2 linked regions of the Drosophila melanogaster genome follow. The protein of the gene in region 1 purifies or fractionates together with the protein of each later gene. This does not show direct contact. Each region holds a gene or a part of one and is shown on either strand. Other genes may lie near its edges.

Region 1 (7,765 bases):
TTCGGCCACCAGAACAAAAGGAACGCAACCAAAGAAAAGTATACAGAGTGATTTTTTTCTAGAGGTGGCAACTAGTGCAGTGGAGTCTCTGCCTCATTTCCTTTGCTTTTTTCTAATTTTTCAGTTGGGTTTGGTTTGGTTTTGTTGGGTTAGGTTAGGTTAGTGGCAAGGAATGCAGGTAACTAAAAAGGAAATGCAAAAGGAAAAGTCAACAAACGAAGGAGAGGAAGGAGTGTTGGTCGTGTTCTGGCTTTGCTCACCGCCCCCCCCCCCCTCCTCCTCACCAACCCCCTCTCACCCACACAAGCCGCTCGTTCGCTACCCGCTACCCTGTTTGTCCTGGCGCCTCGTTCATATTTCATATCTCAGCCCACCGTCGAGGGTCATAAACTAAGTTTTGCCCGGCACGAAATCATTTTGCACGTCAGAGCACGAAACTAAATTTGCGGTTCCGCCAACGTCCTTGTCCGCCACTGTTCACTACTCACTACTACTCAGTGTTCCGGTATTCGACTCATAAATGGTTTATTCAAGCCCCCCCGCAATGGCGGCCAAATGCTAATTAGCTGGCGTAATCAAGTGCTGACCCCGTTCAAGTGCAAAACAGTTTAGCTAACCATAATTGTAATCCAGTTTGAGGCTTTGATATCAAACGCACGGCTCCGGGCAAAGTTTCAGATTCAGATACAGATTCAGTTCAGTTTCGGTTGCAGTGTTACTATAGTTGATGGTGATATTTTCCAAGGTGCACCTTTCCGCAGTGGCTTTTTCTAGCGTCCAACGGCTCAGCTGTGGGCCATTTTCTAGTCCTGTTGTCCCGGTCGGTTCACCGGTTCTAATGCAATTTCCCGGCAGCGGCAGCTGCTTCACGGAAAATACCCATCCAATCCCCGCGTGGAATTCAATTTGCATGTGTTTGAAGTGTGTGTCGGTTGTGGAGTGTGTCGAGTGCCGTTTGTGTTGGTTAATTGAAATGAAAATCGGTTGAGATTCGCAGGATGAGTGAAGCGAAACGGAATACGAAATAAATGAAAATCGAATCAAGTGAAATGAAATGAAATCAAATTTATGTACCATGCGCATGCGTGTGATGTTAGACAGAAATAATAGACTTTAGTTAGAAATTGCATTAGTTGAGTTGACTACAAATAGTACGAAATGAAAATAGTTATATATGGCGGTAACAAGTAGAGAGCTAGCGAGCGATATACAAATCTCCAAACATAAGCGTTAATTTTGCATAATGAATTTTGGCGAATCGAGTTTGGAATTTGGAATTTGGAATTTGTAATGACATCTGCGTTAGGTCTGCAGAAAGGGTTAGTACTTTCTAGATCGGTAAAAGCAAAGCCAATTGATCGTAATCGTAATGGGGTAAAAAATCAATGTTCGCAGGGCTCTCGCACAAACAAATTTGATTTACTGGCCAAGTGCTGGACTACGTTTGTGCTCAGATTGCGTGGACTAGGTCCAGAGATTCAGTTCGGTTTTGGTTTCAGATTGGGTTAAGTTTCGGGTTGGAGTGGTCATTCACCTAAAGGACTTCCGCGTGGCGCTCCGTAGTCCCGGGATGGGGATCGATCGACCGTCGGCAATTCCTGGAGACGCCGCACGCGACCCGGACTGCGCACACCAGAGCTAGTTACTGGATTATAATCGTCACGTGACATAATCCGCGGCTCATCCGCGGCATGCAATCACACACGGGGTGCAAATGGAATGTGGTACGTGGAACCGGAGGTTGCAGTTGGAGTTGAACTGGTCTACCGGATGCAACCTTAAATGCAACGTTGAACTTTGATTTCGGTTCTCTGGTTGGTATTGGCCTCTCGGTTGATATGCTCGGTTTTGATTGATTAATTGATTGATCTATTCGCCACTTTCTCTCTCTCTCTCTCTCTCTCTCTCTTTTTCTTGTGCGGCATCTGCAAGTGGAAGATAGGAGAAGAGAACGAAAAACAAACACACAATAGTACAATAGCACACGGCACAATCGAGATGCTCTCTCGTCATAAACAATATATTGCATTACGCATACGCCCCGTTGCACGCTAAAAAGCCAAGGCTTTGCCGCTCTTCAGCGTTTTTCTCCTTTGCATTTAAATTGGCTGTAGCTCAACTTGCATATCCTTAACCTTTTTACCTAAATCTCGGTCGGGAGCTGACTCACTACCGGGCCAAAAGCGCATAAACAAATACGATAAACAGACTTAACAGGACTCAAAGGACGGAAACGGCTGCGGAGAGGAGAGCGCATCCCGCCGAGCATTTGCTCTATGCAAATTCGTGCTCTACGGCGACGGCAACAAATCGCATGCAAATTGCCACTCGAGCGTCTGCCACTCGGTTGCAAGGAAGTCTCAAACAGAAGCTGTCAGCCGAAGTTTATGCGGTTCATCCTTAAATTGGCATAGGCCTTTTTTTAATAAGACAGATATTTTTAATATAACATCCTCATCTTTTGGTCTCAATTTAAAATCAAATAAACTTATAAATAAGTATATAACGTAACGCACTCATAATGTTCTCTGCTTTACTATAGCTTAAATAACTTAAATCGTTTCAAAAATATTATTGGGTATTAATTTTAAATAAGAACAAAATGAATAAATTCAATATTTTCGTGGCTAATAATTGGCTTTAGTATTTTGATTCTGATGACCTCAAATCATCGTGTTTACTTTGTAGACTTTGTATTTGAATGTCATGAATAGCAGGTTGTAATTAAGGCGCCCGCATAAACAATGCGACCTGGTGATAAGACGAAATGTTGAACCTTCGGCTGCTGTGAATGATGTGAATGGGCCAAGAGTGCAGATATCAACGGCAGCGGTGCGACAGCTGCAGCGGCTCAAATGAATGCTAAATGAATCAGCAGGCCGGAAGCCCATTCACACAGCCAAAAGCCGTGGAAAGGAAGCCTCAGCTTGATTCTGTGGATGTGGATGCTCTATGTGTGCGGCAGGGAGAATGGGGACATAAAAAGATGGAGGAAGCGCAGCAGATGAGGTCAGGATATGGCAGACAGGCCATAAAATATCAGGCCCAGATTCGATTACATCGCCATGCCATTAGGGAGCCCCAGGCAGTGCACTTTGCTGGGCAAACATATCCAGATATATACTGCCATACTGCCAGATGTATGTAGATGCGGAGAGCGGGAGACGGATTGCACTTCTAGCTGCATACTTGGGGGACCTGGAGCTGAAGCTGAAACTGGAAGCCACTACGATTGTTGTCCGTCCGGAGGCCATCTTATCAGGCTATCTGCTCCGGGGGCCTCCACCCCAAAACAAACATGTTGAATAGCTTCCGAAAAAACGAGAGGCGTCCCCGGAGAAAGCCGGAGAGAGAACTCACCACACTGGGAGGCTAGTGCGCAAATGCGTGCCATCTCACCAGCGCACTTCCCTTTCTCCTCTCGCCTTTCTCCGTTCCTCTGGCTGCTTTCTCCATTCGCTCCCGCTCACAACAATAGCGTCATCGTAAAATATTTGCCGTATTTTGTTGTTACCACTGCCCCAATATATGGATTGGCGGCGTTTTCTTCGCCCGCACACACACTGACTCTCACAACAGACACACACAGACACTGACTCAGACCACATGTAAAATAAGGTTGAAATTTGAAATCAATAAAAGTTATTCGGCTGATCTAAAATTAGAGCAAGCAACTCAAATAACAGCCGAAAGAAGTAAATAATAAAGGCAAACACCGCATCATTGACACGCAAAGGAGGTGATTGGGCCGGCCCCCAAAAAAGCTGAACAAAAAACTGACAAATCATGCGAGCAAATCGAATGCGTCGAGCCTGCCCCACAAGGCACCATCCACATATCTAATTATAAGTTTTCAAATTGCTTGCCAATCTCCGGATGATTGATTGATTGAACGGGGCGTATGGGTAATGCATGGAGAACAGACTAAAATTACTCGCTAAACTAAGTTACTCGACTACGTTCTAGGACTGCAACTAGGTCTAGATAATCGGGGATCGTATTTTATATTCAGCTGGACATATTCATCGGTAAAATCACAAGAAAGAAATCACAACAGATACGTACAGGAGATAAAGAAGTTACACAGAGAGAACAAAGGCAGGCACAAAAACAGATTACTTATAACTGATTACGATTAAATTATGGCGGCTCCTGTTACACAAGGCATACGCACAAATCAGAAATCAATATCGCTTATGGTTCACATCACAAATTGAAGTTTTTGCCGTGTTTCTTTGGTTGTGTGTGCGTTTATGTGTGTGTATCTCAGTGTCAGTGTGGGTGTCGTTACGTATACGTAATACGGTTAAATAGCTCACCCGCTTTGCTTAGGCGATGAATTTTGAATGATTTTCCTTAACGAACTGCGGGCGAATGAAAAACTGGCTAAGCTAGCTGCTGCTCCTGCTACTGCACCTCCTCGTTCGTTTAATCCTCTTGCTCCTGCTCCTGCTCCTGCTGCTGCTCCTCGACTTCCGCTTCCGGTTTTCAGAGCCCGCACACACTGACGCACTCGCGCTGCAACTACATGTGTGTGTGGGCGATTTGTTGCTCGTCTTTATGGCCGTTGCCAATGCAATGGTGCTGGTGACTGCGATTGTGATTGTGTTTGTGGTTGTTGTCAGGCGGCTCAATGGGCATTTCCGGTTCCGGTCGGCTAGCTGCTTGCACTAATTTAGTTGATGACACTGGCTTAGTTAGTTTGTTGACTTTCGTGGCGTGCGCTCGCTGGCTAATTGCATTTTGTGTTTATGATTTAAACGGCTTTTGTTTTATGTACATGGCTGTGTGGGAGGATAATTAAACCGCGTGAGTTTCCAGCTAAACTAATTAAAGTCTTCATTCACTGAGTGGGTTTTTTTGTGTTTCATTTATTTTTCCAAGTGGTTTGGTGGCTTCGTGCCCAACGAGGATATTTTTTACACTCGTTCCCGCTGACACACATTCGAGCCCAACACACACACACACACACACACACAGGCACAGCAAACACAGCGATACGGAGAGATAGGGAGTTGAAGAGTGCTCCGCAAAATGGAGTGGAGAGTGTTCTACGCACGAGTTACGCTCACGAACAACGTAAGGTTCGACGTAACGAAAGGGGATTGTGGGGGGAGTGGCGTGTGGCGAGGGGCGAGGGGCGGTGGAGCTGAGCGGGTGGTTTGGGTGGCTCAACATTATGCTGGCACCCCACCTTCCGTCACTTCATTCGCTCGGCTCTAGGCTCTGTTATACAGCTTATAGCTTTTCAAACTTAATGTCTCTTTGTAGGCGTATGCGTATGTGTGTGTGTGTGTGTGTGAGTGCGGTTTTGTGGGTGTGCGAATGCGAGTGTGTGTGTATAACTCGCATGGCTTATATGTAGGTTGAAGCAATTTATAATAATTTTTTTTTGCTTTCGCCCCAATCGATAGGCAGCGTTTAGTGGGACAGATGACTCCTTTTGATTGACAGTGTGTGTTTGTACGTTGGTCTTTCACACTGATATACTATACACAAATGCACATTTGTATATATATATACGTATAAAGGGTGTGTGTGAAATGGTTCCTTGAGTTTGTCACACGATTTTGAGCGCTATAGGCGGCTTTTTGGCCAGCTCGATTTGCTTTTAACTCGCTTTTTTCGCACTTTTTGCAGGAAATCACTTTTCTGTATCCAGGGAGCAGCCTCTAGCGCTAGTGCTGCCATTCACGCACACTCACTCACTCGCACACATACACACACACTAACGGGGACTTTATGCATTTGATCGAAGCACTTTTCGCCAGTCAATGGAATTTTCTCGCGCTATTCTTTCACTTTTCTCCGCTGCGAATGCAATTAAGTTGGACTTTTCTTGGCCTTATACATTTCTCGGCCAGATACATATACTGCGCGTGTGTGTATGTGTGTGTGCATGCGGGAGTGTATTGGTATTCGTGTCTATGTGTGTTCCTAACCCAAAAATGTATTGTGCGGCAGCTGAGGTGGCCCGTTTTCGGCAACGCCGTTGTCCAACTAACTACCCTCAAAGAACTGAGCACGGCTCGTGCAAGCCAGTTGCTAATATAGTCGCCGATTCGCTGGCAAGTGGTGAGTTTTCCAACTTTTCCTTACCGACCACCCTCTGCTTTCCTCCTGGCCTAGGCATAGGGAGAGCTAGCCGGAGAGCGCGCGATTGCAATCAATGAATTTTCCTTTCGGCGCTCGCGCAGTTCAGTGAGTGCTGGCATCTCGAGCTGCCAGCTTAATGGATTCCGGAATTCCAATACCAAAATATGGAGCCAGCGCATTGCGTTACGCTAAACGAATGTGGGTCTTACGTATTGCTCCACATTCAGCGTTGGCAATGCTGCGCGCCAACTATTCAAACCGCCCTCAAAATTAGACTATGAACTCGTTGGTTTTAGGAACAGTTTTCTATAAGAACAGATTATAGATTCTTAAAGATTTGGATTTCATTATTTTGGAAACTATTTTTAAGGAATAAGAAATCTGAAACAGCAGACTGAATGTATCAGCTCACCTAGATTAGCTTTTTTGCAGAAGGTTCTTTTCTAAGAAAACTTAAATACTTATTTGAATTATACGAACTTAATAATAAGACAGTATTCGTTGGGGATGTTAACTTGTTACGTTTATTCTGGAATGTGTCTGTATGGTGGCGCGGTGCGTATCTGCGGTTGTAATACATTTCTCATAATACTTAATCAACGCATTTCCTATGACATAGCCCTAGTTCTAGCGATATGCTCCCGCTACCCGTCTATTTACAGGTGAACTCCTCGTAGCTCTCGTCGCACTCGTCACACTTGACCTCGCAGCACCAGCGGAATTGGCAGCGGCACTGCGTGGTCCTTCGAATGTGCTGCGTGTTGTGGCCACGCCCACAGCAGAGCAGATCGCAGCTCTGGGGGCCGTGGCCGGTCCGCTGGCAGGTCCGACCTGAGGTGCCCTGGCTGCCCGTCTGCAGACTTCGCTCGCAGTAGTTGGGCGACGCCTCCAGGTAGATCAGCTCCATGCGCTTCGGCCAATCGAGGACCGGTTTCTGGGCACGAGCGGTGCCGGCATGCTTCTTTCTGCAAGAAATTAAAAGTGGAAAGAGGTATGTGTTAATATGTGGGATCGAAAATGTGTTGATATTATACCGTGCTACAGAAGGCACAGCAAACATATTGCATTTAAAAAGGACTTAATGACTACTATGTGTTTTATTCTTTTTAGAAGAATACTTATTTAGCCATTAGATTATTGCCTACATATCATGCAACATCTTGCAAGATTCCCATTTCTCACCTGCTTAATACTAATCTCAGTCCACGTTTGCCTTTGACGGCTTGAACAGTTTTGGCTTTTTGATACTTCAGCATGAGTCTATCGCCAACCAGTCGAAAGGGCGGCAGGCTCTTCCAGCAGGTCTTCATCACGCAGGAGCCACTGACGCCATGGCACTTGCAGTCCGTGCGCAGCATCTTCTTGACCAGCTGATAAGAGAAAAACATAACTATTAACTAGGCCATATTTATTATTAAATTTTATGCATGCGCACCGTTCTCCCTGCTCGGTTATTGTGCAGGTTCATCAGCGTGCGGGAGTCGCGCTCCAATTCGCGGGCATCCATGAATCTGCGCGCATACCGCATCCCAAAGTCCACGTCCGCCGAGCAGCCGCCCCACTTCCAGGGCTCGTCGGGCGTACCGCCGCCAGTGGGCGTGGCTTTGTGCCGCACATCACAGCCGCAGGTGGAGATGTTGCCGCGGGCACAGGCGGCGGTCACCGCGTA
Region 2 (7,987 bases), about 10 Mb from region 1:
TCAGGATAACGCAACACTGGGAGAACCCAAGTAAAAGGAATTCTGTAAGCAACATTCAACTACAAAATGAAAACAAGTTGATAAAGAAAGAGTTTACAAAGGAACTAGTAGTATTACATTACATAAACAAAGATCGCTTGATAACAGCAATAAAACACAACGAGCAATTGGCAGGCAAAACTCCATTCCACACACAATTCGTTAATAATATTAGTAATAAATTTTGTATACAGTACCCGTCTTACCTATCCGCTTGGGATCGGCTAAATCGGCTTTGGGCTCAATATAGGGCTTGAGTTCGTCCTCCTCAAACCCCATGTTCATCCACTTGTCGCCCATGATTGTTTCCAGACTAGCACGCTTTGCGGGATTCAGTACTAAGAATTTGCGGAGCAAGTTTTCGCAGTCAGTCGACATATAGAAGGGAATTCTGTGGGGATAAGCGGTTTGGTTTAGTTCCATTTACTTTCATTTTATCTTGCAACACTTACCTATATTTGCCTCTGAGCACGCGTTCACGCAACTCCCTCAAGGTGGAGCCGTCGAAGGGCAGGGAACCGCTCACTAACGTATACAGGATGACGCCCAGCGACCAAACATCGACCTCCGGTCCGTCGTACTTTTTGCCCTGAAACAGCTCCGGTGCCGCATATGGCGGGCTACCGCAGAACGTGTCCAGCTTTGAGCCGGGTGTGAACTCGTTCGAAAAGCCAAAGTCAGCGATTTTGATGTTCAGTTCGCTGTCCAGCAAAAGGTTTTCAGCTTTTAAGTCCCTGTTATAAATAAATAATTCCGGTTAATAAGGTGCCAACTATAATAATGGGCCTTTGGTTTGTCCTAGCCTGTTTATATAAATCATCTGATTTTAATTAGCATTGATTACTCTTACCTGTGAATTATTCTTTTTTGATGACAATATTGCACGGCTGAGACGATTTGTCGAAACTTAACTCGCGCCTCCTTCTCCTTCATGCGTCCGTGGAGAACCAGGTAGTCGAAGACTTCTCCGCCAGATGCGTACTCCATGATCAGATAGAGCGTCTTCTCCGTTTCGATTACTTGGAACAATTTAACTATGTTGGGGTGATCCAGCATCTTCATTATTCTAACCTGTGGGCAGAGTACGATTAGTAAATAAGTCAAGGTATTCTTTTAAGCTAAGTACAAACCTCTCTAAAGAGTTTCTGTAGTGACCCAGGATTGAGTTGGGTCTTGTCAATTATCTTGATGGCGACCTCCTTGCCAGTGGGCAGGTGTTTCGCTAGTTTCACCTTGGCAAAATTGCCCTTGCCGATCGTCTTTATGAGTTTGTATTTGCCAATATGCTCCTCAGTAGCACGCCATCGCATAGGAGCACTACTCCGCATTTGCATGTTAGGCGAACCCTGTAAAAACAATGGTCAGGGGTAAGTAAAGTTATGTATTTTGGTGTGCATCAGGTGTCGGTTATAATTTATATATAAAACCCAACATTTCTGTGACAATCCTGATTTATGACCCTTTAAAAACCGCATTGCTAACGATTAATAGTTATATTAAATGCGATTTTAAACCACAGTGGTATTGCTTTCTCTGAACCAAATGATGAAAATTATATTGAAATATGGTAGATAAAAATGGATTTTGGTTTTTATCCCGTTTACCTGCGCAGCATTGTTGCTGTACACATTGCTGCGGTTTGCCACCACGCTGGGTACGCGGCTAGTGGGATGATGTCCTACAGGCGGGTGAGTTGAGGCTGTTCCTGACCTCGACTCGTGTCCCGAATGGGATCTTGGATCAACGCTGTGTCTGGTCGAGCTGGTCACATGCTCTGCTCGACTGGAATTGTACGGAGGAATAGGAGCCACAATCGGCCGGTCCGAACGTCTTTTCGAACTGGCTGCATTACTTCCTGTTCCCGAGGCACCAGATGCTCCATGACGATGTGAGGATTTTTGGGCCAACAAAGCTTCAAATTGTCGCAAATTCTCCTCACGCCGCTTAGACGCTGAAATGGTAGTGGCCGTAAGCTTAGATGGAGCCACTCCATCCACCACGCTGCTGCTGCTACCGCCACGACTGGCCGAGCCGGAGGTGGACGTGGTGGAGGAGGAGCTCCTGGCCGCCGGAGTGGGTCCAGTGCCAGCTGGTCGCCATACCGCTGGCTGTTTCTCGTCCTGCAAGTGCTGCTTCTGCTTAAAAGTGGCCCTCATGGCCAGCACCGTATCATTATTCTTCGTATCGGAGGCAGTACGTGCCAGTTTAGCCTTCACAGCATTTGCTCCGTTTGCGGCAGCAGCCGAGTTCTTGGAATAGGCTCCGATCGAGTTACGACCATCGCTGCCGCGCTGGAATTCCGATAACATCAGCTCATTGCTGTCATCCAGTTCTCCTGCCCGCCTGCCGCCCAAATACTGAAAATCATTCTCGGAGGACATGTCACTAATGCCCGGTCGCAGAAGGTTTTCCGTTTCACCGTAGCGCTTGCTCTGCTTGCGCTTGATCTCCAGTTTCATCACGTCCATCGATGATTGGGATTGTTGGTTTTGCTGCTGTTGCTTAAAGCTCTCCTCCACGTTATGGATGTGCTTCTCGATGGAGCCGAGGGCAAAGGACACACCGGCATCGTCTTCGGTGGACAGAAGGCGTGGCATTGGCGGCTTTTGGCGTTCTTTGGGCGTGGGATGCGGCTGTAGGGTGGGTAGAGCCGATACGGCTATCCTGGGCAATGGAGTGGCTTGGGCATCACGTCGTCGAAGCTCCACTATGCTGTCGTCTTCGGTGGCTCCATCGAGATCCTTGTTGGCAAGATGTGTTTGACGCAGTTCCATTTCCTTTTCCGTTTCCGGCAAGTTACTGCTGCTATTGTTGTTGTTGCTGCTGTGGTTGCTGTTCTGGTTACTAGATGGCGCCACACTGAGCTTGGGCGGCGCAGGTGCCGCCCCCTTGCGGGCGGCATACAGCCGGACACTCTTCCTGGTGGCATCGCCGCGATTCAAGTCAGGTGTTGTGGTAGTGGTGGCCTCCATAGCTCCTCCGTTTTGCTGCTGATTTCGGTTTTTCTGTTTTTTTTCTCTTAAATTTTTTTGTCGTGGCACTCTTCCCTTGAGTGTGTTGGTGCACAAGTACTTGTTGCTCGGAGAGATCGCAACTTTTTCTTTTTTCTTATTTCTTTTTCAAGTTGCGCTTGGCGTGTTTATTGTTCTTACACTGTGAGTTTGGGGAAAATTATTAAATTGGTCTTGGGGCTTCGGAAGTACAATGCAGCTCACACCGACAGGAGTAAGTGCTTGTGTGTGCGTTCGTTTGCATTGGGCTTTCTAAATTCTCAACGTTACTTTTGTTTGTTTTTTGTCGTCTAACCAACACACAACAAGTCGCAGTTGTTGCGCATTAAAACCTCGAAAATGAATTAAACACACAGCTAGCAACTTCCATTTCTACGTATGTACATATGTATGTACAGATGGGCGGACGGGAAGCGTGTGTGCGTGATATTTACGACAACAGGCGGACAAGAGCTAATCTGTCTCCCCGGTGACACTGAAATAAACACACGGCAGGCGATGTGGGGATGTGAAAGGGAGGGCAATATACCTAAACACACAATTACATACATAGCAAAAGAGAGTGCGCGAGAGAGAAAAGCGAAGTGGCACCTACACACCTGTGGTGGAGGTGAGCTCTTGTGCGTGTGTTTGTTTTCGGTCTCTCTCTAAATTGCTCTCTCCTATTTCTACTGCTGTTGCACAAGCTCAGCTGAGATGCCCTCGCTCTCTCTCGTGTGTGTGTCACGCTTTTCCTGTCCCCACCCCCACCCTCCTCTCCCACGCTCTCTTTTCAGTTTTATGATTCATTTGCCTTTTCGCTATTTTCCTTTGTTGCTTTTAATTACTGTCTAAATAGTTACGATGTGGAGATCTACAAGTATCTGAACAATTCGTCCGTACGAGTCGTTTAGTTGCTGGCTGGTTATATTCCATTTTTATTCGTCGCTGCTTCAGTGAGCAAAGCGAAAAGCTCCAATGCACACACACAGACACACACATGCACGGTCGCACCAACACATTGAAGCAAATGAACTACTTTTAGACAATTGAGCCGACTTTTTCACTGCTGAAAAACACAGTTAGGCTATATACATTGGTCGTTTGATAGTGTGTGAGTATTTTCTTTCTTTTTTTTTCACTTGGTCTGTGGACTATAAAAAATCACATTTCGCGCAAATCCCGATTATTAAAAGGTTCGTTTCGTTGGCCGGAGGAGTTCTTTAACCACACACGGTTATCTTATCGCAGAGGCACGCGGCTTTCGCAATTTTTCGCACTCATTTTACGTGGGGGTTTGGGTATTCGTACTAAATTATAGCTCCTCCTCTGCAACTCTGACGTAAACGTCGTCGACAGGCTACGACTACAACTATACGATTTACACCAACAAAAAACAGCAAAACACAGAAGACACCGAAAAACAAAGCTAAACAGGGCTCAGCAGCCAAAGAGCCACTTGGCCACTCAGCAACTGGAACTGGAGTGCCGGAGAGCGAGAGCGCGGAGTATTCCAAAAGCACGGAATCGCTTCGAGCAGCGACGTCGACTGCGGCAGCGGCGTCGGCCTTAATACACCAACACACCAGCACAAGCACACGATCAGTGGGCAGCTCTCTCCACTGGTGGAGCACTACTACCATTAATACAGTATCTCTATCCGTATCTGCATCTGTGTACTTGTTCTCCCACAAAGAGAAGCCCCGTTTGGAGCTCGAAAGTTTTGAGAGTGTATGAGTGTGCGAGTACCACTGAGCGTAACGCTGGGAAAGAAACTGTTAGCCGTGTTTGCTGCAGGGTTTAGTGTTCTGCGCATGTGCGCAATATATAAGTTCCACCAAGTTACGCAAAGCGCTTCTTCCCTGATTTACTGCGATTAAAGTAACATTCGGTTGGACTTTGGTTTTCTATTAAAATCAATCAATTACCCAATAAGTTCAACTGCTTCCTTTAAAGTTAATCAGTTGATTAGGTGATGCATTACGTAAGAGTTCTAAGTAATAAAACCAAAAGGACATGATGTCTGAAGTCTGAGTCGGAATTCTACGGTCGTCGCGAAGATTTCACTAATCAACTTCCCCCGTTCCCCTGTTTTACTCTATATCAATCACCAGAATACAAAGACCGAGGAATACACACAGTTTGGTACTAAAAATGCAATCCCGAAAGAACATTATTATGAACATCTTGTCGTCAAATAATTGTAAGTCATTTGTCAGCCGACACAATAAAATTTGTGAATAAAATATATAGAGACACGAGTGATACGACATAAACGAAACACATTAGGTATACTTAAAAATAAATAATCTGGAAAATAGAGAAACTCTCATTTTAAGATATCAAAAAGTGTCTCATATGAAATTCGATCATTCTGTCAATTTGTAACTCGCCAAGTTTGGTTTTAATTTATTCATACGAGGTATCAAGTAGCTGAGCCTGTATAAAGTGTCCGTATTAATTAAGCTAATTGAATAACTTGCAGCTTAATCTACATTAAGACAAGACAGCGAGATTTCAGTCAAGCCTTTCAGGTCCCAAACAAAAACATTAAAGATAGAATTTCATTTTTCGCATGCTAGCTAACAGGAAAATCTAATGAGGTCAACTATTATGAACTTGTCCTCCGGACAATGCAATCGTATAGTTATAGAAACAGAGAGCCCGTAATCCCTATAATCCCCTAATCTTTAAACGTATTTGCGTTGGGTTTTTATGTAGCACTTGTGCGATTAGACTGAAAATATATATTAGTTTCCATATGGATTATAGGAATTCAATGTGGGGTAACAAAAATCTGAAATTAAACAAAATCCGTAATCAAAATAATAGAAATCGTTATTCATTCGATTGTGGAAAAAAAACCAAAAACCGTGACAGATACAGACAAAAACGAAACAGCGATTACGATTAGATTGAATGAAGGTGGCAGCACAACAACGATAAATTTGCAATGTTCATAAATGAATGGGGAAGTGTGAGAGACCGACAAACTTTAATCACAACAAATATAACCTTATTGCCCCACTCTTTTGAAATGAAGTAGCAAGGTCAAGTGTAGTTTTGCTCAAGAGCCTAGGAAAGTTTCTAAATCACATAATTGCCAATATCGCAAGCTCCCAATATAAATCCTCCTATATCTTCTATTATATTAATTATGCAATAGTATCTAACGGGTTACCGTTACCGTCGATGGATTTCGATAAAATGTAAGCAACCATCGATAATATCGATAAATTTATATCCAATATTACATACCCTCGAGTTGCGAGCCTTGTCACTGGATGATGCCGACTCCTTGGCCTTGGGCCTTTCCGCCTTACTGGTGGCCACAATGGGCAAGCCGCCGTTTTCGATCATTGTCACCACAATCTTATTGTTCCGACTGCTTACGGTGCCACCACCACCACCGCTTGCGTAGGATGAGTTCGCCGCCGCAGCTGAGGCTGCATTTGTGGCCGCTAGATTCTTCTGCCGCAGGGCGTTCGATAGCCGTTGCTTGCGTTCCGCTCGGGCCTCCTCCTTTTCCCGCTGCAACTTGGCAATAGTGGCGGGCGTGTGGCTCTTGGAGCGCTTTAGAAATCTCATCAGTTGGCTCTTAACATTGGTGGCGGCACTTCCATTTCCCTGGCTTGTGGCATCGCCTATTTCCTCTGCCCTGCTGGATCTTCGGGATATTTGAGCCTTGGTGGGTACCTCCAGGCGACGGAAGACCCCATCGGCCATTCGGACGAAACAGCCCTCCGACATCTTGTGAAAGGAGTCGGATGGCAGTTTGTGAAAATCGCCATTGGGACTGCGATAGTAGCAGTGATCCGTCCGATGATAGCCATCTCCCACAATATAAAACTCATTGCGCCCCTCCTTGGGCGCCACAGCTGCTGCTGCTGAAGCCGAGGATTCGGCAGCCAGGTCGTCAGTCTTGGCACTTCGATCCACGGGCAGTTGGAAGGCCATTAGTTGGGTGATGCTACTACTGCTCCCACCAGCAGCATCCTCTGCTGTAATAGGCAGGACACTACCCGAAGTCCCCTGCCCGGTATTAACTGGTTTCAGCTCACTGATCGTTACCGGACGACGTTCCGGGTTCTTGCGCATAATGCTTCCATTGCGCAGAAGTGAATCTCGCAGGAGAGAGAGCTCATCCTTACGCAATGGTTGCACCAATGTGGGGTAATGTTTCGAAGACGAAGTCGATTTGCGGGTAGAGGTTCGACGATTTCCAAACTGTGAAGCCGGTTGTGGTGGTTCCTCCTTGTTGTTGTTATTGCTACTGTGGTGCATCTGCCGGTGACTGGAAGTCTGGCCCATGGTAGGTGCTTTGGTGGTTTTGCGGTGGGTGGTTCACTTGGTTGTTTCGTGGTTGGGTTGCGGTGGTATTTCTTCGTTCTCGACGCGACTCGGTGTTCACGGTATACGGATTATTGGCCCAGTTGCAACGAAACTGAGACACATATTCCCTCGTTCTTCGCTTTGGCAATTATCACAGCGAATTTCGTGTGTAAACATTGAGAGATGCGCGCGTATACGTGTGCATAAAAGTATGAATAAATTTTGTTCGTTTTGTGTATTTTGTGGCACAACAATCACAATTCAGGCGCAGCTTTGTCGCTTTTATTTCGAAAAGACCATCTTGTTAAATTCTATTAGAGCACAATGAGTGAACATTGGAGAAGCAATCGCAGTAAAAGTCACAGTCTCTCGGTCACTAAATTGCAAACACATTCACCGTGCCAATCTTACTGAGCACAAATAATTGGGATTCGCAATGCACAGAGTAAAACAATAACAATCATAAGAACTGATAGGTCCATTAAGCAAGCCGCTTATTCAGTTAAAGAAGGTATGGAGAATTTTGAATAGCACAACTAAATTTTCTTGTTGAATATGAAAGTACCACATATATCTTTGAATCTTATATGAACGTATCTAGTCTTGTCATTCACAAATTTATGGTT

Evidence for each region.
Region 2: the proteins of brp (region 1) and par-1 purify together in Drosophila melanogaster (affinity purification with western blotting, with the first as the bait; one study listed by BioGRID). This does not show direct contact.

The regions. Positions count from the first base shown.
Region 1 is NT_033778.4:9,502,023-9,509,787, reverse strand, and holds the start of brp (bruchpilot), read right to left. Parts: upstream 6,024-7,765; 5' UTR 5,943-6,023; intron 4,785-5,942; 5' UTR 4,320-4,784; intron 1,926-4,319; 5' UTR 1,671-1,925; coding exon 1,535-1,670; intron 862-1,534; exon of another isoform or gene 618-861; intron 1-617. Other genes in the region: Wnt2 (Wnt oncogene analog 2), read right to left, coding at 6,749-7,061, 7,279-7,466, 7,532-7,765.
Region 2 is NT_033778.4:19,463,995-19,471,981, reverse strand, and holds the start of par-1 (par-1), read right to left. Parts: upstream 4,517-7,987; 5' UTR 4,341-4,516; exon of another isoform or gene 4,169-4,340; intron 3,193-4,168; 5' UTR 3,012-3,192; coding exon 1,644-3,011; intron 1,386-1,643; coding exon 1,170-1,385; intron 1,111-1,169; coding exon 890-1,110; intron 774-889; coding exon 492-773; intron 431-491; coding exon 237-430; intron 1-236.